Saccharomyces cerevisiae S288C: one gene and its partners. The gene in region 1 interacts genetically with each later gene. Each region holds a gene or a part of one and is shown in the gene's direction. Other genes may lie near its edges. The genes, in order: KIN2, BUD8, RIM101 and RIM9.

What was found.
Region 2: mutations in KIN2 (region 1) and BUD8 together harm fitness more than expected from each alone (negative genetic interaction), as found in Saccharomyces cerevisiae (3 studies listed by BioGRID).
Region 3: mutations in KIN2 (region 1) and RIM101 together harm fitness more than expected from each alone (negative genetic interaction), as found in Saccharomyces cerevisiae (2 studies listed by BioGRID).
Region 4: mutations in KIN2 (region 1) and RIM9 together harm fitness more than expected from each alone (negative genetic interaction), as found in Saccharomyces cerevisiae (2 studies listed by BioGRID).

Annotation. Positions count from the first base shown.
Region 1 is NC_001144.5:328,854-338,605, forward strand, and holds KIN2 (serine/threonine protein kinase KIN2), read left to right. Parts: upstream 1-3,736; coding exon 3,737-7,180; downstream 7,181-9,752. Other genes in the region: GIS3 (Gis3p), read right to left, coding at 1-385; IOC2 (Ioc2p), read right to left, coding at 824-3,262; SCF ubiquitin ligase complex subunit HRT3, read right to left, coding at 7,378-8,412; CHA4 (Cha4p), read right to left, coding at 8,674-9,752.
Region 2 is NC_001144.5:830,609-838,663, forward strand, and holds BUD8 (Bud8p), read left to right. Parts: upstream 1-3,743; coding exon 3,744-5,555; downstream 5,556-8,055. Other genes in the region: LUG1 (Lug1p), read left to right, coding at 508-2,931; sedoheptulose-7-phosphate:D-glyceraldehyde-3-phosphate transaldolase TAL1, read right to left, coding at 5,742-6,749; ILV5 (ketol-acid reductoisomerase), read right to left, coding at 7,458-8,055. UniProt on the Saccharomyces cerevisiae protein: Involved in positioning the distal bud pole signal.
Region 3 is NC_001140.6:49,450-53,488, forward strand, and holds RIM101 (alkaline-responsive transcriptional regulator RIM101), read left to right. Parts: upstream 1-1,661; coding exon 1,662-3,539; downstream 3,540-4,039. Other genes in the region: WSC4 (Wsc4p), read left to right, coding at 1-1,131; YHL026C (uncharacterized protein), read right to left, coding at 3,770-4,039. UniProt on the Saccharomyces cerevisiae protein: Transcription factor that mediates regulation of both acid- and alkaline-expressed genes in response to ambient pH.
Region 4 is NC_001145.3:393,590-400,605, forward strand, and holds RIM9 (Rim9p), read left to right. Parts: upstream 1-3,487; coding exon 3,488-4,207; downstream 4,208-7,016. Other genes in the region: cleavage polyadenylation factor subunit RNA14, read left to right, coding at 1-1,199; ARG7 (glutamate N-acetyltransferase), read right to left, coding at 1,465-2,790; AEP1 (Aep1p), read left to right, coding at 4,314-5,870; KAR5 (Kar5p), read left to right, coding at 6,113-7,016. UniProt on the Saccharomyces cerevisiae protein: Required for the proteolytic cleavage of the transcriptional repressor RIM101 in response to alkaline ambient pH, which is necessary for sporulation and invasive growth.

The DNA of each region.
Region 1 (9,752 bases):
TCATCAAAGATGAGCGATTTTCGTTCAGCAGTTCGGAATCGTCTCGAGCCTTCAGTATTCTAGTCCTCTTGAAGCTATTCCTCTTGGTTAGTGTTCTAGTACGTTCAGCGCTTCCTTGACCATCGAACTGCGGCTTAGTGGAGTGGAAATAAATCTCATCGCTCACCGTCCTATTACTTGTGGCGGTCTTGTTCATGCTGGCGCTGGCTAACTTGTTATTCTTCTTATTAGTAGCGGTAGCGTAAAATGACTTGGGATAAAATACCTTTGATGAGTCGCTCCATGAGTGCAATGCGCCATCATCACGTATGCTTTTGATGAGGCAATGTTCATGCACATGAGCATCGTGCATTAGTGTGTGATTTGTGTTCACGTCCAGCAGCATTCTATAATTATGTCTTGTTGAAAGTGTTCTGTATGTTCGTGTCTATCCAAAGAAACAAGTAATTGAGAAAACTAGCCATCAAATACTTGTGAAGAAGCGAGTTTCCATTCTCTGTTTCACTCGTTTGGCGTTCTCACCATCCCACTTTTATTTCATTGGCTTTTTTAACACAATAAGGCGCCTTCAGCACCTTTGCCGCGCATTAAGGATGGCCACTGACGAAAAACCGGATAAAAAAAGACGAAAAAATGCCGTCTGACCCTAGTCAGGAGCCGCCTCATACACCCTAATTATTTTGGCGCTAAGCCCTAAGCATCATTATTACCCGACATGAAGCGACAGAAGCCCTACGGATGTGCGGCTGGAAAAGAAAGTTTCATGAAGAACCAGTTGATATATATTTTACTATATACTTTTGCTGTGTATTTCTATATGAGGCTAGTTGGTTGGTGGGAACTGGAAGTGAAAGTTCTGTTCTTTAGGGTGCAGCGGTTGCTGTTGCTGTTGCTGTTGCTGTTGCTGCTGTGGTTGGATTGATGCTTGTGATGTTTGTGGTGCCTGTGGTGCTTGTGGTACAGTTTTGCTGCCAGTTTGCTGCGAGTATGTAATTATGGGGTGAGCGGCATTTACATTAGGTGCTGGATTGATGGCTGGATTTGTTTTTTCGTAAGCGGCGATACTAGGCGTTGTGCTACTTGACATGTTTGCAAATGCATTATTAAACACTGGAGGTGAGACAGACTCGGTTAGTTCCCTTTTCTTTGCAAGCTCTTCGAGCCTTTTCTTTTCTTCCTTCATTTTTTTTCTTCTTTCACGGTCTTCCTGTTGTTTTCTTTGTTTGGCCCTTATTATTTTCAATTCAGGCACAAAAATGTTGCGCAGCTCAAGTTCCAAGTCCCTGATGCACCAAGCGCAGATAAAAGTGGAGCATTCAGACAGCGGTTTGCGTTTATCAGTAGGTCTTGAAGACTTGGTGCTGGGTTCAAGTGTGGATTGGGGTCTGCGAGAAGACCTTCTATTGCCGTGCGAATTTCCCATTATGATGACGCCAAAATCACGTTGCGACAGCGTGTGCTGTGGGGATTTTGTGGTTGAAGATATAAGCTCTATAATTTTTGGAGGTTGGCATTCCCAATGCTGCCACCTGTAACAATGATCACAGCATATCAATGGGCGGTTATTGAAGAGGTCAGTCTCCGTGTCTTCGGTGATAATCATGGGCGCCAGCTCTGGTTCGCCCGGACATTGGAAAACAGAATCTTGGTTGTCGGGCTCTTGCTGCGGAGTAAAGATCCCGTAGTTGGCAAGCTCATCTAGCTCTTCCTTTGTTATGCAGAAGTCACTAGGCAATTCAGGGACGTCTCCCGTCTGTAGTGGCCCAACAGTTCCAGGAATTGGTGGTTCCACCGGGATTATACTAGATTGAAAGTTAGGGCCGTGATCAAGAACTCCGATATCGATTTCATTTAAGGGATTGTCCTCCTCCCTGCCCAAAGACGTTTCAAAAAACGGTGTACCAGAACCACTTCTATCTTTGAGCTCGTTACGCCTGGTCAATTTTTCATCTCTATAATCTTGATCGTACAATTGCCACAATTGGTTCCAAAGAAGATCTTTTATCTTTTTGATTTCCTTCGACACTAGCTTGTTTCTGTGCCTTATAAATTGTTCTCTTTCATCTAGTTTTTCAAACCACTCACTTTCCAAGTCTTTTTTCTTGTTTTCTTCCTCTTTCGCTACCAGTCTCGAAGATCTTTTCCTCCTTGTCATTAGCTCCGCAATTGCTCTCTCCTTTTCTCTGTTGGCCAAAAGTTTTGCCGAATATAGTCTATGTTCGGCATACACCGGTATTAAGTTAGTTATGAACTCATCTATGGCTTTCGAACTTTTATTCTCTGACCAGTATTCTAGCATGGACCCCCAATTAGTTGTAATCACATCATAATCAATTGTAATCGATTGAAGATATGCATCGATATCGTGAGAGTACTCGAGATGAATAAGCTCCACTGAATCAGGAATGTCTGGGTCGCTTTCTTTTATAGTACAGTTCTGTAGTTTTATTGGGATATTCAGAGTTTGAGAGACTTGGGAGGAAGAGCCTTCTTTTACTCTGTGAATGGTTTTCTTTACGAGTACACCAACATTGGGTAAGGCAAACAAGCTCTTCATTTCCTCCCCTCCACTATTATCATCATCCAGTATAACTTCACTAAACGTAAACAGATGCAAGTTATTCGCTAAGTAGTTTTTGAAGATCATATTTTTCATTTCAATTAATTTTATGATACTGTAAATGATGTCGAATTGGCGTGCAATTTCAAGCTCCAAAAAAGGTAAGTCCGTAACCAAATCTGAATACGCGCTCGAGTTTTGCAAGTGATGGTTAACTATAACATTCCAATCTTTCAATTGCCCGCTTTTATTTCCCGCTAATTGATGCAATAATTGCAATCTAATTCTGTCGTACAAATTTTGCGATCCTTCATCTACGTCGACTTCATCATTGTAATAGTTCGAGTCCTTCCCGTCTATCTTCGAAAATACGTCAGTTACAAATACACCTTCATCGAATTTGATATTCTTCCACAAGCATTTGGTAGAGCTACCGCCATACTGGTCAGTATTAAATGTCGTTGTAGTATATGATTCGCAGACATTGGAAAGCCAAGCCATCACATACTGGAAGTGCCAGTGATTGGCCAAGTCCGCGATCTTCTCATCTAATATTTCAGAATACGGCAGCTGGTGCTTGTTCAATTGGGCTATTATGTCTTCGGAGACATATTCTTTCCAGTCTTCACTATCCGCATTCGCAGCGCCGGCAGGCATGCTCGCTCCTACATTTCTTGTACCCCTAGTTCTCTTCGTTCTCATCGATCGCTGATTCACCGCTTTGTATCTATATATGATTAGCCAGTGTGTATGAGTAAAATAGAGCAATTGATCTAGTTTCTTAGTCGTGTCACTATTGAATAAATAAATGTTAATGTTGCTGGAAAGGAAGAATTATGTCACTTTTGACGCTCTCGCATTCCGTGTGCGGTGATAGCGGTAACTTGGTCTAGCAACGAAAATTTAAAAAGGTTGGAAAAGGAAAAGAAGAGCTCAAGTGGACCTAGAAGTCCTGCTTTGCCACCGTTTAAGCAAGGAATAGAGCACGCCGTTGACACAAATTCACAGTCAAGGACGGGCCACGAGAACTTTATTACAAAATATACTGCATTACACGAAATTCAGCGGAACTCTGAGCGCGAACAGCATTAGGTACCGAGAAACGCTTTTCAAAAGAAATTTCTAAAAGTTTTATTGTGCCATTAATATCGCGGCTCAATTGTTAAGTATTTCACTATGCCTAATCCGAATACAGCAGATTACTTGGTGAATCCAAATTTCAGGACCAGTAAGGGCGGATCTTTATCGCCGACGCCAGAAGCTTTCAACGACACGCGAGTTGCTGCACCAGCCACTCTTCGCATGATGGGCAAGCAATCTGGACCAAGAAATGACCAGCAACAAGCACCACTGATGCCTCCTGCAGATATCAAACAGGGCAAGGAACAGGCAGCTCAGAGACAAAATGATGCATCGAGGCCTAATGGCGCCGTGGAATTAAGGCAATTTCATAGAAGATCTTTGGGAGATTGGGAGTTCCTTGAAACGGTTGGCGCAGGCTCTATGGGTAAAGTTAAATTGGTCAAGCATCGTCAAACAAAGGAAATTTGTGTAATAAAGATTGTTAATAGGGCTTCCAAGGCTTATCTCCATAAACAGCACTCTTTACCTTCCCCAAAGAATGAGAGTGAGATATTAGAAAGACAAAAGCGGTTAGAAAAAGAAATTGCGAGGGATAAAAGGACTGTTAGGGAAGCCTCTTTGGGCCAAATCCTTTACCATCCTCATATCTGTCGTTTATTTGAAATGTGCACTATGTCAAACCATTTTTATATGCTTTTTGAATACGTTTCCGGTGGACAGCTGTTAGATTATATTATTCAGCATGGCTCATTAAAGGAACACCATGCGAGGAAATTTGCCAGAGGTATAGCTAGTGCGCTGCAATACTTACATGCCAATAATATTGTTCATCGAGATCTGAAAATTGAGAATATAATGATATCTAGTTCAGGTGAAATTAAGATCATTGATTTTGGTCTTTCCAACATTTTTGATTATAGGAAACAATTACATACGTTTTGTGGTTCCTTGTACTTTGCAGCACCAGAACTATTAAAAGCGCAGCCATACACAGGACCTGAGGTAGATATTTGGTCGTTTGGTATTGTTCTTTATGTCTTGGTCTGCGGTAAAGTACCATTTGATGATGAGAACTCAAGCATTTTACATGAAAAAATAAAAAAAGGTAAAGTAGACTATCCTTCACACTTATCCATTGAAGTTATATCTTTATTAACCAGGATGATTGTTGTCGACCCATTAAGAAGAGCAACATTAAAGAATGTCGTTGAGCATCCATGGATGAACAGAGGATACGATTTTAAGGCTCCATCATATGTTCCTAATCGTGTTCCATTAACCCCTGAAATGATAGATAGCCAAGTTCTGAAGGAAATGTATCGCCTAGAATTTATTGACGATATTGAAGATACAAGAAGATCATTGATCCGATTAGTAACTGAAAAGGAATACATCCAACTTTCCCAAGAATACTGGGACAAATTATCCAACGCCAAGGGGTTGAGTTCAAGTTTAAATAATAACTACCTAAATTCAACGGCACAACAAACCTTAATACAAAATCATATTACAAGTAATCCATCGCAAAGTGGTTATAATGAACCAGATAGTAATTTTGAAGATCCTACTTTAGCATATCATCCATTACTATCAATATATCACTTGGTTTCAGAAATGGTTGCACGGAAATTAGCGAAGTTGCAAAGAAGGCAAGCATTGGCCCTGCAAGCGCAAGCTCAGCAAAGGCAACAACAGCAACAAGTAGCACTTGGCACTAAGGTCGCCTTAAATAATAACTCCCCGGATATTATGACCAAAATGAGGAGCCCTCAGAAAGAAGTAGTACCTAATCCTGGTATTTTTCAAGTGCCGGCAATTGGAACATCGGGAACCTCAAACAACACTAATACCTCAAACAAACCTCCACTGCATGTAATGGTTCCTCCTAAACTAACAATACCGGAACAAGCGCATACTTCTCCAACATCTAGGAAGAGTTCCGACATTCATACGGAATTAAATGGTGTTTTGAAATCAACACCAGTCCCCGTGTCTGGCGAATATCAGCAACGTTCTGCTTCACCCGTAGTAGGTGAACATCAGGAAAAGAATACAATAGGCGGCATATTCAGAAGAATATCACAAAGTGGACAATCTCAGCATCCCACACGGCAACAGGAACCTCTTCCAGAAAGAGAACCTCCAACATATATGTCAAAATCAAATGAAATTTCCATCAAAGTACCGAAAAGCCATAGTCGTACTATATCAGATTATATTCCTAGCGCTAGAAGATATCCATCTTACGTGCCAAATTCTGTTGATGTAAAACAGAAACCCGCTAAAAACACTACCATAGCACCTCCTATAAGGTCAGTATCACAAAAGCAAAACAGTGATCTTCCAGCTTTACCTCAGAACGCCGAACTAATTGTTCAAAAACAACGGCAAAAACTATTACAGGAAAATCTCGACAAATTACAAATTAATGATAATGATAACAACAATGTGAACGCTGTAGTCGATGGTATCAATAATGATAATAGTGACCATTATCTCTCCGTTCCGAAGGGTCGTAAGTTACATCCTAGTGCAAGGGCTAAATCGGTGGGGCATGCTCGTCGTGAATCTTTGAAATTTACTAGGCCGCCTATACCAGCAGCCCTTCCGCCATCAGATATGACAAACGATAACGGCTTTTTGGGAGAGGCAAACAAGGAGAGATACAATCCTGTTAGCAGTAACTTTTCGACCGTTCCTGAAGATTCTACCACATACAGTAACGATACTAACAATAGACTGACTTCGGTGTATTCTCAGGAGCTTACTGAGAAGCAAATTTTGGAGGAAGCTTCAAAGGCACCCCCCGGGTCTATGCCATCAATTGATTATCCAAAGTCAATGTTTTTGAAGGGTTTTTTCTCTGTACAAACAACCTCCTCTAAACCATTGCCTATTGTTCGTCACAATATCATATCTGTTTTAACAAGAATGAATATTGATTTCAAAGAAGTGAAAGGCGGGTTCATATGTGTCCAACAAAGGCCATCTATTGAGACTGCAGCTGTCCCTGTTATAACCACTACTGGCGTGGGTTTGGATTCCGGAAAGGCGATGGATCTGCAAAATAGTTTAGACAGTCAATTATCATCCAGTTACCATAGTACAGCGTCCTCAGCATCAAGAAATAGTTCGATAAAACGCCAAGGTTCTTATAAGAGGGGCCAGAATAATATACCACTAACACCTTTAGCGACCAATACACATCAAAGAAATTCATCTATCCCAATGTCTCCAAACTACGGAAACCAAAGTAATGGTACATCAGGGGAACTATCTTCCATGTCATTAGATTATGTTCAACAACAGGATGATATTTTAACAACATCAAGAGCCCAAAATATAAATAACGTAAATGGTCAAACAGAGCAAACCAATACTTCTGGTATAAAAGAAAGGCCTCCTATTAAATTTGAGATTCACATTGTAAAGGTTCGTATCGTCGGCCTAGCAGGTGTACATTTCAAAAAGGTTTCTGGTAATACGTGGCTATATAAAGAATTGGCATCGTATATTTTAAAAGAATTAAACCTATAGATACGTTGTTCTTACTAAATATTTCAACGTGTGTCTTTCAATTTTTATTATCTAATATTTATCTTTTTTTAATATTATAGTATAATTTATTTAAGCTGAGATCTGCTTTCTTTAATCTTTCATATGATGAAATAATAGTTCTACATAAATCTATAAGAATAATAAATAAAGTAAAACAACTGCAAAAAACATCGATGTCATCCAGGATCCTTGAAAGATTTCACTCTGGAGAAGAAAAAAGATTTCTCATTTCTCAACGAACAGTTAGATGCATTCCCTTCCTTATCCACTACAATTGAACTTAGCCATTTCAACCGTTGATATCTCTTATTGCCTTGATTCTTGATTTGGAATTCTTCGATAAACGTATACTTTTCATCTGACCTTGTTATCTTTAAATGACCAAAATCATAATCAAATCCGAGGCTCCAATAACACATATGACTATGCCTGGGTTTGTTCTCTTTGGAGAAGTGCTTCACGACAGCGCTAGGTTCATCTGTAGAAAGTAATCTCAAACATTGGCCGTTCTCATAAAATCTGAAATACCTGTAATAGGTGATCATGTGAACTGGCTTTAAAAGAGATAACGAACTTTCTGCATTGGAACCGTATCTTACATAATTTACTACACTGATGTAAACACCTTCGAATTTAATATATGGCCTTTCCCTTAACATACGATAATCATCACCCCGCCATATTTCCTTTTCAAAGGTATTTATATCGGTGATTCCGTTAAGATCCATTGCCATTTTGTCGTATATTTGCTTAGAATATATGTACTTCGCGAAAGTTTTAAATGGCACAGAATCGTGGAAGCAAAGCTTGCTAAAGGTGGAACAAGTCATCGACAAATTCACCCAAGATTCACCAGACATTAATATAACTTTTTTAATAATTCTCAGTAAAATGTCGTCAGGCAAGATTTCCAGAATCCAGCAGGGTTGAAGTTCAGCATTTTCTTCAACAGATAAGTCATCTTTACCGGTTTCATTTTGTTCATCTGGAGCATCAGTAGTCATTGATAATCCCGATAGTTTTTTGTGCAGCATCCACTCATCAAGTATTTTTTTTCTGTACAGTGATTCCACATTATCATGGATTTTCAATGCACTTCGATAGAAGTTTATAGCATCTGACATTGACCCATCCTTCTCTTTCAGTACACCTTTTTCCCAAATAGCAATAGCCTCTTTAGCCCTAGGGTCCTTTTCATAATCTACTATCATTTGCTCCTTGAGTTTAGCTTATGGAACACATGTGTCGTCGCCAAAGATGATGGGGAATGTTTGCTTTTATCTTGCTCAGTCGATTTCGCTATCTAGGAACTACAATCCTTTTTTTTGTCATTTGGAAGGCTCTTTAAAATTCCGAATCGATAAGTTCGGAGGTGGGAAAGGATAGCGGTATATTCCTTCCCAAATAAAAAGGCTACAAACACATTACATAAAGAATATTTGTTCAAGTAAACATATCCTCTTCACTCAAGATTACTTCGACAAACCATCATTGGTGTTTCCACCAATCAGCATATCAATCTCATTCAATAAAGTAAAGTCAAAATTGTACTCTAAGGCAAAATCGTTACCGTGAGATAGAGTCCCTAATAAATCCATAGTTTCTGAATTATGCAAAGCATCTTCAGAGTTTTCTATGAATTTTCTAGCAAGTTCGTAATTCAGGGTAGGCGCACTTAAAAAATTTAAGAAGTCTTGTTTTCTATCCTTTTTAATCAAGTTGGACTTCATGCATTGGATGGCTAAAATCGCAGAATAAATCATGTAAATTGTGGCCTTCTCAAACGTCTTAAATTTATTTTTCCAAACTTTTAAAAGATAATACAGTTCATCAACATAACCTTCAACCAATTCCCGGCTTTGTTTGATTTCGTATATGAAAGGTTTATTATAGGAAATTAGCACGATATAGTAATGAAACCATACGTAAGCTATGGTTGGGTTAAAATCTGTCATTTCCATCAATGACCTCTTGGTCCATTGTAGTTCAGGGGGCAAATCCCTTCTCCAATTGTATACCTCCAGATTAAATTTGGCCAAGTATTCACTCCTTTGAAGTAGAGTTTCGTTTGGGCTGAAAATCTTGGATGCAAAAATCTCCGTTATTCTCGATAACACAATCAGTTTCTTCAAGGGGTTTGCAGTGGACAATATTACTTTTGGGTCATATATGTACTCCTCTATACCAGTCTCAATTTCAGGTAGCTCGTCTGTTTCTGGAACAGTGGAATTGGACAAACGCAAGGAAGTTGATCTTCCAAAGAGGATCGCTATTAAATGATCAGCAATGTAGCAGCCCCAATAAATTCTACTTCTCACTTCAAAATCCATTATTGACAGCTCGTCTTCATAAACATTACTCCATGCTTCTGGATTCAAATGTAGGCCGATTTCGTGGGCAATCCTAAATGCCAGCCCAGAAAGATACCAAGCCATGGGGTTTTCTCCGCTTCCAATGTCATAAAATGCCAAACACAATAGAGTCTGGATGATTGCTAATTTCGAAGAGGACGACGATTCAGCTAACGAAGAATCTTCCAGTTGAAAAATTT
Region 2 (8,055 bases), 500 kb from region 1:
TACACAGTCTACAGTCAAGAATTTTTTTTTATCAATTTGTGCGTTCGAGCGTATAAAATAGCCGCTGTAGCTACTTAAGTTCCTGTTCAGCGATAGTTTTTTTCCATCACACGTACTATGGCACCAACTTTGTACTATTCCTTCCCCGTTTACTCAATTCTTGAAGCCAATTTGTACAATTCCCCATTAGAGTCAAATAAAAGGATGCCTCACGGAGGTATGTTACCCGCGCTATTTCACATGGCTCATTGAATTAGAGGTGGAATTTGGTGTACCCTCCCCTCCTCATCTGATGAAGTAGTGATCCGACAATTCTTAAAAGTTGTAGACATTACTCTTACCACCAACTAAGTTGTATTTATATTGCTACCCTTATCCTTTTATATCTAACTAGCGCTTATAAGGTTGGGGCAATACTAAAACTGTGATCTTATTCAGCTCATTAAATACGTGGCAGTACGTACCCTATTAGAAACAATAGGAAACAACAGAGTCGGAAGAAGCCAAATGCCAGATTTGAAGTCCAAGACCTTGTCAAGCCAATCTTTGGGAGCGGCTATTCCTCCAGAAATTGTGTACCAAATACTTACATACCAGTTTAGGGATTTGTTAAGAAATGACCATCCAGGTACGGCAGAAAAGTTTAACGAAAACTTAACTACATTTGTCAAAAGTAATTTAACTGTTAATAAGACATTCTCCCATATTTGTCAAGTTCTCATTTATAGATATTGTAATTTAACTACCGCAAAGAGATTTCACGGTCTTTTACAGACTTTAAAGGGAAATAGATGCCTTTGCAATAAGATTGAAGTAGCCGATTTCCAAGAATTAACGTCTATTGGACTGGGGAGGTCCAGTGAGATGAATAAAATGATTAAAAATCTAACTAACGAAACTCTTCTTGAGTTTCTAATGCTCACAAAAGCAAACTTAAGGGAATTCTTAGCATGTGAAAATATTCAAGACGATTTAGACGATAATATCATAAAGTATATTCTATCTCCAGGAAAAGTCTTGAGTGTAGTGGATTTCTGTGGCTGTTCAGGCACCACTTTCACAGAAAGTTTTATTAAGGCCCTGGATAAATACTACCCTAATAAATCGATTGATCAGTACCGGCTGGAACCTATTCAACAAAATTATCAGATTACCTGCTTAGGCCTAAATGATTGTATTGATCTACCATCACACGTCCTTTGGAAGATCTTAAAAATGTTACCAGAACTACAAAAACTTGATTTATCTCATACCTCCATTGATGATAGTACCTTATATCACGGCATACCTCACTGGAAAAATTTAACTCATCTTTCCCTCGCTACTTGTCTTCAAGTTACTCCAAGAGCGGTTCTGGAGTTTTTTAGTCATCACCCAACAATTACAGACCCTGACAACACTTCTACATTAGAATGGCTGAATGTTAGTGTCATTGCCCATTCCTCATCTTGGAATGAGGTGCACACAATGTTTTTACTAAAAAAACTTTGTCAACATGGCCATAACAAAACTTTGCAATATCTAAATATCGGCGGTTTACCGCTTCATGTTGCACCTTCTTTCGGCGAGGACCCTATTAGCGAATCCACTTATTATTACCAATGCCGCGATAGCTTACAGTTCATAAAGTGGAATTTTCCGAAGTTAAAAAGTTTGAGTATAAAAGGTAATAGTATCCCGATATCTACGCTCGTAGAATTTTTGACACCAATTGATCAAGACCATCCTAATTGTGCTCAAAAATTGAAGTTTTTGAATATTTCTGGTAACTCTTATGTGAATAAATGGACTATTCAGGACTCATTATTGTACACTTGTTCTCCAAGTTTAGTCGCGTTAGAAGTTTCCTTTGACTCGTGGCAACAGATTGAAAAACTAAATGATAGACATGAAATTATTGCATACAGATATAAAAACCCAAATTCGGTAATTAAAGATATTTCAACAGCAGAACAAGTAAAGTGGAAATGTTACATTGATTCTTCTTATGGTAGGAGATATTGGTTATATAAGACTGATCCTTTCCTGAATCGTGATGACTTGGATTCTAAGTCAAATTTAACTAGGTATGATTTTGAGGGTCACAAAATCATAGAAATTATAAACCAGCCGGATTTCCTAAAGTTTGCCCAAAGTAAAATCATGCTTGGATGTGGTCTAGTTCCTCAAAGTGGTATTAGACGTAAACTATGTTACAGAGATTTAAAGCCACCAGTTTCTCAATTCTTAAATAGAAAAGGTGCGATCAGCCTTGGTGATACTCCACTACCAATAATTACCCCAACATTACCTCGTGGTGGGTGGAGAATCATCCATAATGAGGACGACAACAACAGTCATGTGGAAGATAGCCAAAATCACGTGAATGCCATCCCAAGAAGGAATTCTCTGTTGAGCAGACCCACTTTAAGAAGCAACAATGGTTCTTCCTCTGCCAACCCCTTTGCTATCAATGTTTCTCCTGCATCTCAAATCAGGGATGGTTTGTACTGGGATAGGTCGGTCCATGATTTACGTGAGCTATCATTGCAAGAACAAAGAATTCAGGAGTTAGCTGATGAGCAGCAGGAACTAAGAACAATCGCAAACTTTGAAGAGACTGACGACGAATATTTGCACGATCCCGACTTGCAACGGAGAAGGTCCCAACTTCACTTATTTGAAAGTTCGCGCTCACGTTCAGGAAATAAAACAAGACCAAGTTTAACTGGTGAACACTCGTCCTCGGCATCGTTTCTATCCTTCTCCCACTTCAACCACCTTCACAAGCGTAAGAATTATTATTTCACGCATCCCGATGAATTTGTCTATGATCCAAAGGATCCTCTGACGACTCAAAGATATAGATTACATTTTGAAATAGTCAACGAATATCAAGTTTTTGGGTGCATTGAGCGTGGAATGTATAGATACTACAGTTTAAAAGCATAGATATTTTTCTCTTTACTTCCTTACCCTTCCTCCGCTCTCGTCTTGTGTCTTGTATATGATTTCTATATATGGTAAAATATTGCATACATCGTCTACCATTTAGCCAGACTTTTCGGAAACGAATTTAATGATTGCAGCAAATTCCCTTCCCCTATCAACTGATTGAAGAATGCCTCGAAACGCAATGTGATTTTTAAGTTTTCCATTTTTTTTTTTTTCATAAGGGAAGCCTCTCTCCTCCGAAAAAGGTAAACATTGCGAAAAATGATCCAAAAGAGAGAATAAAAAAACAATTAGAAAATGATTTACTCATCCGCTTACTAGAGAGGCCAAACCGGATAGTCCTGACGCTAATAAGAGTAGGATTAAGTTCATTGTGGTGTGTTTTTTTATTGCGCGTAAGCGATACCTGCAAAATTCATTATAATTTTCAATCACCTTCCATCAATTATCAATACCCCATACTAAGAACAGGCAATTGGTTTAGGAAGGAAAATAATAAAGATATCCAAAAACAACTGGAAGCTTTCCAGTCGCGACCTCTGTTTTGTTCGAACTTCTAGTTAACAAAAGAAAGACCATTCAATTGCTTTTTTAATATTCATTATTGACGATTTTTATTTCTAGGCGATTACCGGTATACTTTTCATTCTTTTGATAAGATAATAAATCCAATTACATTCGCTTATTTTAATTCAATTTAGACTATAACTTTCTCTTAACTCTAGGAGTTTCTTTCTTGAATCGAAGCATTTTTGACAATACCCAATATCCTCTTTCTACTTGAGAATTTTTTCGATTCTACATGAAGTATGATACAATCAGACGAAGATAATTTGGACTCTTCTGAAACGACAGCATCAACTTCATATAGTGGTACTTCCTCTGTATCATCCAGACTACAACTAAGAACATCCTTGTTTTTTGAAAATCTTAATGGAGCACATGGGAACCCCGATGCGGAGACAGAGATGGCTACTGTTGCCTATGAAACCACAAGTAGAGGTCAAGGATTTGCTGTATACATCAACAATGAAAGGTTTTCTCAAATAATGGGAGCATCCACAAGCTCTAGCTCTAGTAGCAACTCGTCCTCTATTACACAATTTCACGATACCCAAGATAATAATATACCAAGCAACACTACTGTAAGGCCAACTTCACTTCGACGAGACAACGAGGATACCGTACCGTTAAGGAACGTAACTCCTTCACAAAACGCGGCGGTACGGCCAGAAAGAGCAGTGAATTCACCATCTTCGCAGAGATTAAGTTGCGCACTGACAATATCAACTTCAGTTCTTATGGGAGAAGATGTTGAAGGAAGCCCTATAGAGCAAGAGCATAGTAGGGTCGTATCTTCATTATACTCATCTTTGGCGAATCGCGGGAACGACGAGTCAAAGAATGGAACACCTCCACGTCCTACCTCAATTGAACCTAATGAAACAACGGAACACTCATTTTTCTCATACCATTACGATGACACCTTAGAACCAGATGTTGAAGAGGCAGTGAGGCTAACGAAGAATAAAACTTCTAATGTTAATTTTATAAGCTCAACTGGCAGTAAAGGTGAAGGCGAGACCGAGGATGAAGTCATAGATCAATACGAACCTGTGAATGAATCAAAATTTATACCGCACAAACTAAAAATTCCAGAGAAGGCTGGATCAATAAAGTCGTCGACAAGTGATGATTCGCATTCGCCAGGTGCGCCAGGTACGTCGGCAAGGAAGATTAAAATTCCTCAGAGTCCATCGTTAATTGGTAACATATTGATTCCTTCACACAATAGTGACAGTAGTAACGAAAGTTCTCCTAAAGACCATATAGGGCATAATAATGAAGAAAAATTCAGTTCAAAATCTACGCGCAAGCCCTCCACATCCCTAGAAGAAGAAGGTCCACCAATTGGACTACCTTCAATTCCCGTATTAAGAAGTGTGTCCGGACCAAGCAAATGGACGAAGACACCTTTACGCTTAGAATCTGGAAATTCAACTAAGTCTGATCCATTTTCACGCTATGAAGGACACAAGACGCCCTCTCCATTGACCAAGATGAACAAGAAGAAAAATAAAACGTTGCCAGAACATGGACAACCCCTCGTGCTAGCTCCAATTAAATCTCAAAGCTCGGAGTCAGACACGGGACAGAACTCCATTATAGAAAAGCCAGCTCGAAGCATACGACGAAAGCAACAAGAAAAAACTGATAATAGGAAAGAAGACAGGCACGATGCTGAAAATATAGACCTGGAGGCGAGAATGCCAATTCAACATATCGATACCGCTTCCATTCATTCGTTTGATTCAGGTCAAAATGGATTCAGGGACGTTTACAGCATCGAAAACATCATTGTGATCCTCCTATGTTGTAGTATAGTGCCGCCATTATTTTTTATTATTGGCTGCAGCTCAAGAAGGAAATTAGTTTCAGACTATAGATTAATGAGGTTGCTTATGAATAAAGAACACCGAGCGGCTTTGCTGCAAGGATTCATATGGGACGTTGATTTAAGGTGGTTCCGGATGTTTTGTCTGATCTTAGGGGCTGCCGAAACAGTGATTGTGATGGCCGGTATTGCTATTGGATTTGGTGTGGGTATAACACGTGAATAAGAAACTGTATCATTCATCAAATAGGATAAAAAATAAAAAACTGTTCTGTCTCGTTAAAGTCATATATATAAATAGGGGATTTTCATTAATTTATATATATAGATATACTTGTGTACATGTACCCGTAAGTATCAAAAGAAACGTGCATAAGGACATGGCCTAAATTAATATTTCCGAGATACTTCCTTAAGCGGTAACTTTCTTTTCAATCAAGTCGAATAGAGTAACAATATCGGCAGAGAATTTTCTGATACCTTCGGACAATTTTTCAGTGGCCATAGCGTCTTCATTCAAGTCGAATCTGAATTTAGATTCGTCGCTGATGTAAGAAATCTTGTCGCCGGCTTCCTTCTTAGCGGAGACAGGGTCCAAAACTCTTGGGAAAGGTTCAGTACTGTTCATCAACTTGTCCAATAAAGCTGGAGAAATTGTTAGATAGTCAACACCAGCCAAGTTTTTGATTTCGTCAGTGCTTCTGAAAGAAGCACCCATAACAATAGTCTTGTAACCGTACTTCTTGTAGTAGTTGTAGATTTTCTTGACGGAAATAACACCTGGGTCGGCTTCACCCTTGTAATCTTTACCAGTGCTGGATTTGTACCAGTCTAGAATTCTACCAACAAATGGGGAAATCAAAGTAACTTGGGCCTCGGCACAGGCAACTGCTTGAACGAAGGAGAATAATAGAGTCAAATTACAGTGGATACCGTCCTTTTCTTCCAATTCTTTGGCAGCTTGAATACCTTCCCAAGTGGAAGCAATTTTAATAAGGACTCTTTCCTTGGAGACACCTTCTTGTTCAAACAATTTAATGATATGTCTAGCCTTTTCAATGGTAGCTTGAGTGTCAAAAGACAATCTAGCATCAACTTCGGTGGAGACTCTGCCTGGAACAATCTTTAAGATCTCCTTACCGAATTCGACTAACAATCTGTCCACAGCATTTTCGACTTGTTCTTCGGTGGTCTTACCATGCTTCTTACCGTATTCCACGGCAACATCGATCAACTTGGCGTAAGTTGGTTGCTTGGCAGCAGCCAAGATCAATGATGGGTTAGTTGTGGAGTCTTGAGGTTGAAACTTGGCAATAGAGCCGAAATCACCAGTGTCGGCAACAACGACAGTGCCGGAGGCTTTCAATTGTTCTAGAGAGTTGTTAGCAACCTTTTGTTTCTTTTGAGCTGGTTCAGACATTATGTACACGTATATGTGACGAGTTCGAGAAGTATTTTACTATCGTACTAAATTTTACCTGAAAAATTATATACTCGAGAAAGAGGAAGCCAAGAATTGAGAAAAAAGAAAAACCCGCGAGTAAGGAAATTAAATACAGGTGTACACATACACGCACACATATATATATATATATATATGTATATGTGTATATAGGAAGCGCGCGCATGTTAGTATATACGATTCGTTGGAAAGGGGCCGTCCACCAAACGTGACTTGACGAGTTGACAAATTGACCTCAATATGGCTCAGTCAGTAATTTTTAGTTCCGCTTTATTCCCGCCATCTTTCAGGCCACGAGGGTAGCTCATAACGCCGCGCTAATGCCGCTGCGTCACAGCAACCAGTAGCTCAGCCAAAACCGAAAGAGAAATCGTAGCTGTCCCGATGAGGACTTATACACTTGTCACCATCTAAATAAATTATTTATTCGCGTTTCGGTTCTTGTTTTCGATTTAATTAGATTGTTCATTGAATCATAATAAATATGTAAAAAATATATATATTTGAAGCTGCTTCAGAAAAACAGGGCTTCCTAGTGTACAGATGTATGTCGGATGAAAAAAAAAAAATCTTAAATGTGAAATTGGGTCAATTCAATTGACTATGACTTGATGTTGCAAAAATTCCAAGAGAAAAAGTTTCCAGCACTTGATATTATTTTCCTCTTTATTGGTTTTCTGGTCTCAACTTTCTGACTTCCTTACCAACCTTCCAGATTTCCATGTTTCTGATGGTGTCTAATTCCTTTTCTAGCTTTTCTCTGTAGTCAGGTTGAGAGTTGAATTCCAAAGATCTCTTGGTTTCGGTACCGTTCTTGGTAGATTCGTACAAGTCTTGGAAAACAGGCTTCAAAGCATTCTTGAAGATTGGGTACCAGTCCAAAGCACCTCTTCTGGCGGTGGTGGAACAAGCATCGTACATGTAATCCATACCGTACTTACCGATCAATGGGTATAGAGATTGGGTAGCTTCTTCGACGGTTTCGTTGAAAGCTTCAGATGGGGAGTGACCGTTTTCTCTCAAGACGTCGTATTGAGCCAAGAACATACCGTGGATACCACCCATTAAACAACCTCTTTCACCGTACAAGTCAGAGTTGACTTCTCTTTCGAAAGTGGTTTGGTAAACGTAACCGGAACCAATGGCAACGGCCAAAGCTTGGGCCTTTTCGTGAGCCTTACCGGTGACATCGTTCCAGACGGCGTAAGAAGAGTTAATACCACGACCTTCCTTGAACAAAGATCTGACAGTTCTACCGGAACCC
Region 3 (4,039 bases), on another chromosome or scaffold:
CTCATTTCCACGAGCACATCATCATCATCATCATCAACTCCAACCACAACATCGTCAGCCCCCATTTCTACAAGCACGACGTCGTCAACTTCCACTTCAACAAGTACAACATCGCCAACTTCTTCTTCAGCACCTACAAGCTCGTCTAATACAACACCAACGAGCACAACGTTCACTACGACATCACCCAGTACAGCCCCTTCAAGCACTACGGTTACTTACACCAGTACCACAGCATCTCCAATAACGTCCACTATAACTTCTGTAAACCTGCAGACCTCCTTAAAGTATTCTGTGATAACAGTGACTTCAGTGCACACCATGGACACTAACATTTCGGAAATCACCTCGAGATATCTCACCATGAAAAAAGTAATAACGCAGATTTACTCTTCCACCCTCGGGGCTACTCCTACTTCTGCAGTGGCTACTACGTCTGCCAGCGTAGGTGGTAGAATAACAAACAATAACAATAGTAACACCACCAACAGCAATACACCAACTAACAAGTCTACAGAAAAGAAAGGGTACTGGGATTCGCCCGGGAAAATAGCCGCTACTTTCGTCGTGGTTGGAGTGGTATGTTTGGTAATTATATGCATACTAATATACTTAATACATCATTATAGAACAAGACCCGCTCGGAAGGCTCAAGATTTTGAGAATGAATATCAGAGTAAGTTTTACCAGTCCAAGTACCCAAATGAAGTTACCACTACCACGTTACACACGCCTTCACCATCTTCAAATTCAACTTTCTCGACCCCAAGATTAATATACACTGATGAAAAGGGACAAATTATGTCTGAATCACCATCCCCACGTCAATCTACGTATTCCTTGACTGCAGGCAGTCCACCAAATGACCCAAGCACGTTGGCAAGCCCATTTCACGATCCCATTCTTCCCAGAAGAACTTCTACTTTTCTTCATTCGCCCATTCAAAAGCAACACGAAAAAATGGAATCAAACGTTACTCTAGGTGAAGACACGGTACTGGTGGATCAGAGGCTAGACCCAAGTAAGATGCTTAACACTTTAGCAAATGACGATGCCACAAACCACTCTACCATTTCGTTATCAGACAACGTAGACTACTCCAGGAGGGTTCTGCGGCTAATGAACGAATAAAGACTGCAGCTCTTATACGTAATAAATATTCCACGAACGATAATACATACATAATTTTAATTCTGAACTTTGTTTTTTTCCTTCGAATGTTCTCAAAAGAATGCTTTACGACAATAACGCTGTTATCTTGTACATACTTTTCTCTGCCCAGTGACAGCAGGCACAATAATCTAAATACCGCGTTCGTGCGAGACATTCTCTGTGATTCACAGATTACGGCGCAGAAAATAAAATAGCCGTCCAGCTCGGAGTTTCTAAAATTACGTCCGAGATGACGGAGGCTTATAAAATCATTTCAGACGGGTGAGGGATGCCAATCTACGAGACAAAAGATAAAAAATTAAGACTCAATAATATAGAAAGGAACTAAATGTTTTCATAAGAGTCACCGTCTATAACCTTTTTTTTTTTTATTGGTCTGTTATCACTTCCACTGAGAAAGTAATATTGCTATTGCACAACACTTTTTGAACAAGTGCAAAGATAAAATACTGAAAACGGTAAAGTAGGTTTGTTTAAATTGACTTAAGATGGTGCCATTGGAAGATCTGCTTAATAAAGAAAATGGCACTGCCGCACCTCAACACAGCCGGGAGAGTATAGTAGAAAATGGGACAGACGTTTCTAACGTCACAAAGAAGGACGGGCTGCCCAGTCCTAACCTATCTAAAAGGTCTTCTGATTGTTCGAAGAGGCCTAGAATTAGGTGTACCACGGAAGCTATTGGCTTGAACGGTCAAGAAGATGAACGGATGTCACCAGGCAGCACTTCTTCATCATGCTTACCATATCATAGTACTTCACACTTGAACACTCCTCCATACGATCTATTGGGCGCTTCGGCAGTTTCACCCACCACATCATCTTCCTCTGACTCGTCCTCCTCCTCGCCATTGGCACAAGCGCATAACCCGGCAGGTGATGACGACGATGCGGATAATGACGGTGATTCTGAGGATATAACACTATATTGTAAATGGGACAACTGTGGTATGATTTTCAACCAACCAGAGCTGCTATATAATCATCTGTGTCATGACCATGTTGGCAGGAAGTCACATAAGAACCTACAATTGAATTGTCATTGGGGAGACTGTACCACGAAGACGGAGAAAAGGGACCATATCACCTCGCATTTGAGAGTTCACGTACCATTGAAACCGTTCGGTTGCTCTACGTGCTCCAAAAAGTTTAAACGTCCGCAAGATTTAAAAAAGCATTTGAAAATTCATCTGGAAAGTGGCGGTATTTTGAAAAGAAAGAGGGGACCCAAATGGGGCTCAAAAAGAACTTCTAAGAAAAACAAAAGTTGTGCAAGCGACGCAGTGTCGTCTTGTTCTGCATCTGTGCCTTCCGCTATAGCTGGTAGCTTTAAGTCACATTCTACTTCTCCACAGATATTACCCCCATTGCCCGTGGGTATATCTCAACATCTGCCTTCACAACAGCAGCAGCGGGCTATTTCCTTAAACCAACTATGCTCAGACGAGCTATCTCAGTATAAGCCGGTATATTCTCCACAATTGAGTGCCAGATTGCAAACGATCTTGCCGCCATTATACTACAATAACGGCAGCACGGTAAGCCAAGGTGCCAACAGTCGGAGCATGAATGTCTACGAGGACGGTTGTTCTAATAAGACCATAGCAAACGCCACCCAATTCTTCACCAAACTATCGAGAAATATGACAAATAACTACATTTTGCAACAAAGCGGTGGTAGTACTGAGTCCTCGTCATCATCTGGGCGCATCCCCGTAGCACAAACAAGCTATGTGCAGCCACCTAATGCTCCTTCATACCAATCCGTACAAGGTGGTAGCTCTATTTCGGCCACTGCAAATACAGCAACTTATGTGCCAGTACGGTTGGCCAAGTATCCAACTGGTCCTTCGCTTACTGAACATTTGCCACCTTTACATTCGAACACTGCCGGTGGTGTTTTCAACCGCCAATCACAGTATGCTATGCCACACTATCCATCTGTTCGTGCTGCGCCTAGCTATTCCTCCAGTGGCTGTTCTATATTACCGCCTCTACAATCAAAGATACCAATGTTACCATCGCGCCGTACAATGGCAGGTGGAACTTCATTGAAGCCTAACTGGGAATTTAGCCTGAACCAAAAAAGCTGTACTAATGATATTATCATGAGTAAGCTGGCGATTGAAGAAGTAGATGACGAAAGCGAGATAGAGGATGATTTCGTAGAGATGTTGGGTATAGTGAACATTATCAAGGACTACTTGTTGTGCTGTGTCATGGAAGATTTAGATGATGAAGAAAGTGAGGACAAAGATGAAGAAAACGCATTCTTGCAAGAATCTTTAGAAAAATTGAGTTTACAAAACCAAATGGGAACTAACTCAGTTCGCATCTTGACCAAGTATCCCAAAATTTTGGTATGATATGGATTGTCGGATATTTTATTCTTAGTTGTTTCTTTGCGGCTGTATAGTAAATGAATAAATCACACATGCCCTAGCGCGGCGTCGCGGATTAAACAAGGTAACAATGGTTAAAGGAAAAATTATTTGTTAAGGTGGGTATATTATAGATTGCTAATTGTAAAGTATTAATAGTTTATTAAGTATTAAACTAGAGTTCGCACATGCTTTTATTTTTTTGTTGCTTTTCTTCACGCTACCGCTTCTTGAGACTGTTGTTTGGTAGTACTGATATCTTGATCGGTTGATCCCGAGCTGCGATTACCCGTGGAGCAAACTTCTTGATCCTGCTGTAGCGTACCGTTTGCTAAGCCTTCATAGTAAAGTTCCTCGTGAAACTGGTTTCTCAACACAATGACGATGATGGCCACTGGAGTGCATACAAAGGCAATTACAACGGCATAAATCAACTTCATGACCTGCGGTAGTGGATAATCGTTGAAGTAGTAGTCGTGGGACCC
Region 4 (7,016 bases), on another chromosome or scaffold:
TTTGGTTGAATTGGATAAAATGGGAAAGGGAGAATAAGTTGATGCTTAGTGAAGATATGCTATCACAAAGAATCAGTTACGTTTATAAACAAGGTATTCAATACATGATATTTTCTGCTGAAATGTGGTACGATTATTCAATGTATATATCTGAAAATTCGGATCGACAAAATATCTTATATACTGCGTTATTAGCTAATCCCGACTCACCTTCTCTTACATTCAAGTTATCCGAATGCTACGAACTGGATAATGATTCTGAAAGTGTTTCTAACTGTTTTGACAAGTGCACTCAAACTTTACTATCGCAGTATAAAAAGATCGCCTCCGATGTAAATTCGGGTGAAGATAATAACACAGAGTATGAACAAGAGCTGCTATACAAACAGAGGGAAAAATTAACATTCGTGTTTTGCGTGTATATGAATACGATGAAAAGAATATCAGGACTATCCGCAGCACGTACTGTATTTGGTAAATGTCGTAAACTGAAGCGTATATTAACACATGACGTCTACGTGGAAAATGCATATTTAGAATTTCAAAATCAAAACGATTATAAGACTGCTTTTAAGGTTTTAGAATTGGGTTTAAAATACTTCCAAAACGATGGAGTTTATATCAACAAATACTTAGATTTTTTAATATTTTTAAATAAGGATTCGCAGATCAAAACCTTATTTGAAACATCAGTGGAAAAAGTGCAAGATTTAACCCAGCTGAAGGAAATATACAAGAAAATGATAAGTTATGAATCGAAATTCGGTAACTTAAACAACGTTTATTCTCTAGAGAAAAGATTTTTCGAACGGTTCCCCCAAGAAAATTTGATTGAAGTTTTCACAAGTCGTTATCAAATTCAAAACTCCAACTTAATAAAGAAATTAGAGTTAACTTATATGTATAATGAGGAAGAAGACAGTTACTTTTCTTCTGGAAACGGGGATGGCCATCATGGCTCTTACAATATGAGTTCGTCAGATAGAAAGAGACTAATGGAGGAAACTGGAAACAATGGAAACTTCTCCAATAAGAAATTCAAAAGAGACTCAGAGCTTCCAACAGAGGTTCTTGATTTATTGAGCGTTATACCAAAACGTCAATATTTTAATACAAATTTACTCGATGCGCAGAAATTGGTGAATTTTTTAAATGATCAAGTAGAGATTCCAACAGTTGAGAGCACCAAGTCAGGTTAACATTACGTTAATAAATAGGTATATATGAATATTTATACCAACACATCTATTATAATAGGCGAACCTCTGTATGTAATTAAGTAAAAAAAAAACGATGTGACAGGATAGTTAAGGTGCCTCGTACATAAATAAAAACGGAAATAGTTAATTCTTTCAAAAATATGGCAATAGCCAAACTCATTCAGAAGGTACAGGAAACACTCTGTTTCTGTGCGTTTATATAACCATGCTTATAAAAGAAAGATTGAACAAAATATACATGAATTTATGAACGGTAATCACCGTTAATTGTTACATATTCATGTGATAAATCACAAGTCCAAAATTGTGCTGCCTGATCACCGGTTCCCAAGTCGACAGACACTTCCAAATCATTCAAAGCCAATATTTCAGAAGCCCTTGTTTCATCGATCTCCAATTGTGGCACACCATTAGCGACAAGCTTCAGCTCACGAGGTTCTGAATTGTCGGTAGCAATAAAGCTAACATTAATTTTGTTGACATCTAGAGATTTTAAGTCATTCAGCTTTGCATACCCGATCGCGCACAATATTCTTCCCCAATTGGCATCTTGCCCATATAGTGCGGTTTTGACCAACATAGAGTTTGAGATTGATTCAGCAATTATTTTGGCGTCTTCAAAATGCAAAGCATTTTTAACGTTAACAGTAACAAACTTTGTCGAACCTTCACCATCGCGAACGACTAACTGGGCCAAGCGCTGAGCAAATTCTGTGACCTGCAATTTTACTTGTTCAAAATCTTTAGAGTCTTCGTTAATTTCTTTGGTGTCAATAGCACCGTTGGCCAACATGCAAATTGTGTCATTGGTGCTCATATCACCGTCCACCGATATACAATTAAATGAACGGGTAGTAGCGAAAGTCAGCATCTTCTGCAACGCCTTGCTTTCAATAGGAAGATCTGTAACTATGAAACCTAATAAGGTAGCCATATTCGGACAAATCATACCCGCGCCCTTTGCCATACCTGTCAAAGTATACTCAGTACCACTAGGTAATTTGAATCTAGATGTAACTAATTTTGGGAAAGTATCAGTAGTACAGATTGATTTGGCTACGTTCAACCAAGAGTTAAAATCACTGCCGAACTTTTCTTCTCCAAAAATTTTATTGATACCAGTGCTGATCTTGTCCATCTGTAGTCGTTGTCCAATAACGCCTGTAGACATGACTAGGGTAGAATTTTTTTGACCAATTTTATCGTTAACCAAATCAATCATTACTTGGGCATCTTTCATACCAAGATCACCTGTGACCGAGTTAGCACAACCGGAATTGACTACAATAGCGTTGATGTTTTTACCACGAGCAGTTTCAAGGACTTTTTTCGATGTCAAAACTGGCGCAGCTTTGAATTTATTGGTCGTGAAAACAGCTGCTGCGGTTGAAGGACGAGATTTATTGGTATTCAAGATTACACCCAGGTCCAGGCTCCCGTTTTTTTTGACTCCAGATGCAGTGTAGCCTACTTCAAATCCTTTAGGAAAAGAGCCCGTCTTGGGCACGTATAATGCATACTTATCTATAAGCTGCTTCGAGCGTTGAAGCAATGTTGATGATATTCTCATGCTATGTTGAATTTTGGACTTCTTTAAATAAAGGGAATAGAAGTATTGCTGATACTAGCCCAAAAATCGTCACCTTTGTGCGGCGAGCCGAGGATGAGGCTTTTATATACTCGACGACTAAAGAAGTTGGCAACGAATTACGCAGTGAGTCATCCTACCTGTCCATCGCAGTAGAAAAAGACCTTCGCCAAGAAAACACCGTCAATAATGATTGCTAAGCACTCTCACTTAGTACTACTATCAACGCTACCTTCAATTTGGGTCTAACCACGGCCCTATTGCATCACTACTCTCTTTATTCTATGATACAGCGTGGGGGTGAAGCCAAGAGCCCTGTGTTTTACTTCAGCATACCAACAAAGTATAAGATTACTTTTGCTATACAGCGATGAAAAATGTATTTTAATGTTTGTAAATTTATGATCTACTGACACGTCTCAGACAGATCACATTTACAACACAGCATGCTATGACTATATACAAAACATGACTTTTCTTTATCACTAAAAGTAACTGCCAATTTATTGTCGAATCTCGCTATAGTTTGATTTTCACCAGCGGCGCGCGCAAGTATAAGCTAAGAAACAATGAATATAGATAGATAGTGATGAGCGTTGAGAACCGGGAAATGAGTAGAGACGTCCTTCTAAACAAAGATTTATACGGTTGAGACAGATTCATTGAGGAAAAGAGGAGAATGGTTAGCATGATCCATATTGTGGTGTTTTTGCTAGCAATCACAACCATGTTCGAAATACTTCCGCTAATAACCGTCCCCGTGACCAAGTACCTATCGTTATCGTCATTCAGAAACCACTATTATGGCCTGTTTGGCTGGTGTGTACGTGGTCAAAACCAAGAATTGATGTGCACGAAAATGAAGATAGGATATGACAGTACAGATGTCGACTCCTCCGGGCACGTTTTGACCCTGCCATCGAACTCAAAAGTGGTCGTCTCCAATTTATTAGTGGTTCACCCGATTTCACTGGCATTCACAGGAACGCTATTAATTTTAGCAGTGATTATCATGGTAACTCCACTAGGGGACTCACCTGAGATGTTATTGTTCACGGCCCTTTTTTCGCTGCCAACGTTCATGCTATGTCTTTTATGTTTTTTGGTAGATATTCTTCTGTTCATCTCCAAACTGGACTGGCCCGGCTGGCTAATGCTAGCCGCTACTATTAGCGTAGCACTTTGTTGTTCCATGCTGTGGGTCATGAGAAGAGTTGTGTCAGTCAAAAAATATGAATCGCAACAGTCAATTGCGCATGCGTGCTCAATGGAACAGTACTCAATTTCCGACATTTACCAGAGTAAACAGAACGGCAATAGCTCAGAATATGAAGTGGCTCCAACACATACAGATAGTCTGATTGCTCCAGAAGTGACATATAGAGGGTTCATTGAATAAGTAACATCATGTGTCATTTTGCACGTTACATCGGTTTGCCAATCGGCTTCCAAATATTTGTACATTTTTTTCTTCCTCCATCACTATCTGTTAAGGGTCTTAGAAAATGATTACTACAGTGCAAGAAATCAGCAAATGGAGAAACCTGTGCTTCATTAGGATGCAATCTCGCAAATGGTACCCAGTACTTAAAAAGACTCCTTTAGTAGCGGACGGTCGAAAGATCATTAAACATGCCGATAAAGTTCCTCATCCGGAAGAAATAATTCACCCATTTTACCAACCAACAGCAATAGAACAATTCACGGCATGCGCTACGGAATACAATCCTAGCCTGCTTGATGGCAAAAAAATTGCTCCATCACTGATAAAACACCCGGTGAGCCTAAAAACCATACTAGTTGATAGCAAATTAAAGTTTGATGATATTAGGGGAGTGAATAAATGGTTGATGGAATTCGTTGCAAGACGACAACATCAAAGAAATATTGTACTTACACCTGCGAGCAAAAGCGTTAGATCTTTTCACGTTCTGCATTTGTCTTCAACCGATATTGCCAAATTAAGAGGTCTTGAAAATATATTATCAGAGATTGAAAACACGAATGATTTGCAATCCAGGGTCGAGTCCGTAAATAATGAACTACAGAATATTTTTGACCGCGACAGTAAACAGACAAGATTATTTTGCGAGAATATACTGGCTTATTTGATAAAGAATTATGGAAACTCGACTGAAAAACTTATACTACTAATAAATGTTACTGAGATGCAATTATATTCACGTTTAGACCAAATGAAGGCCATGAACATTATTTTATATAATATCCTTTGTAAAGTGGAAGCAAATGAAAACCCACCGTACAGTCCCACATTGGTTACCGCACTAGAAAACCTATTGGCAGCGATCAACAACAGATTTTTTCCAGGGCGTTGCGAAAATTCATTGCACCCAATAGTAATTGAACAACTATTATCATATTTCATTAAAACCGGCAATTTGAATGAAAGCAAAAATTTTTTGGGCCATTTAATAAAAAAGGGTATTTTACCAGAGGCTACTATCATTAATAGATATTTGGAGGCAATTGATGTTCATTTCGATAAAAGCACTAAGATTTTTGATATAAGATCCAAATTTGCATTCATAGCAGATCTTGCACCCATAATAGAAAATTATGGAACAATAGACCTGTTCAAATTTTTGATACCTATGTGCCGGCATTTCGACGAATTGTGTTCTCTGCTAAATATTATTCGAAAATCCAATAACGCAAAACGGGCTGTGGATAGCACCTTACCTATTTTTATCAAAAAAGTATTAACATTTACTAAAGATCCAATGATCAACTCCGGAAATCTATCCACTGTTTTCAATATAGTGAGCCCAATATATGGACAAAACGTGCCCAGCGAATTCGTGGAGAAATTTATACTGTCTTTTGCACTTCAAGGAAATTACACTATGATGGCTCATATGATAGATACATATAAGATCAAACTAAGTCATAAATACCAACTACAAATTATTAGGGCTCTCAAAAATAGTGAGAGAAATCACGCGCTTAAGAATACGGGCGCTGTAGGTTATAATAAGGAATTTAAAAAGTACTTCATCGAGAAATATTTGAATTGCACTGAACGAGAAGCTTTACGCCCATAAATCGTCTATATTAAAAAAAAGGCAGCATAAGAGCAACTCACTGCAAAGGGAATTGCGCATTCCACGCAAATAAACAATGTAAATAAGAATACGTACTGTAACTGTGTCACACTAGCGGGTTGTTTTATCATAATTGTTTGGGATTAATCCTGAACAAATTTTCTATATATAAACACTGGTTCGGAATACCAATGAAGTATACATATTCTGGTTCAACAACTGTTTCTATTCAAAAACTTTGAATGTTTGAAATGCGCTACGTCTATTTGTTTGCAATTTGTATTAAGTTTGTTTCAAGCTCCGAACTAGGAAAAATCAACAATCTGCTGCAAGGAAGATTGATATACACAGATAATTCCGTTGCGACAAATGTATTAGAATCCAAATTTCCATTCTTGAAATCAACATGTGTTAAAGACGCACTAAAATTATTTTTGCCACAATGTATTGCAAATGGACTTGAATCCATTGACGCTGAAACAAGGGTAGAAACGGCCATTAAACTTTCAATATGCGAGTTTCAGGCATCTGGCTTGGGCGAAATACCAGAAAATTGCATGGTTGACGACCTAGGATCAATGATGGATTGTATGTTTGAACTAGAATCATCTTCACAGTGGTGGACAACTTATAGTGGAAATTATCAGCGACTATCGAGTATTTGTTATGAAAATCTTCTTCCTTTTGAAAAAGAACAGATACTGAAACTTTTTCTAAATATCACTGAACTTTATGATTCATTTGGGGATGATGTCGATACTAAGTTAAATCATCTGATGTTTCAAATGGAGCAAGATTCTCAAAATTTTTTGGACGATCTGGCCAGGATGTTCCGCAACTATGACAATGAACTGCGAAATGCGACCGAAAGCAATCGAATAATCTTAGAAAACGACCTCTCATTTTTTAGAAATAAAGTGAATGATGTACTCTATGAAACTTCCGAACAACTAGAGGTCCAAATCATAGAGAAGAACAGTCAACTAATGAATGAAGTTGATACCGTCCATCATATTATGAGCGATCTAGCCGATGAGCTTGCTAAAAATGACATAAAATCTAAGATAAATGACTTGAAGGACGACAGCCTGAATAATTTACAGGACCTAGTGGAAATGTCCAACGACGTAAAAGAATATTACTCTA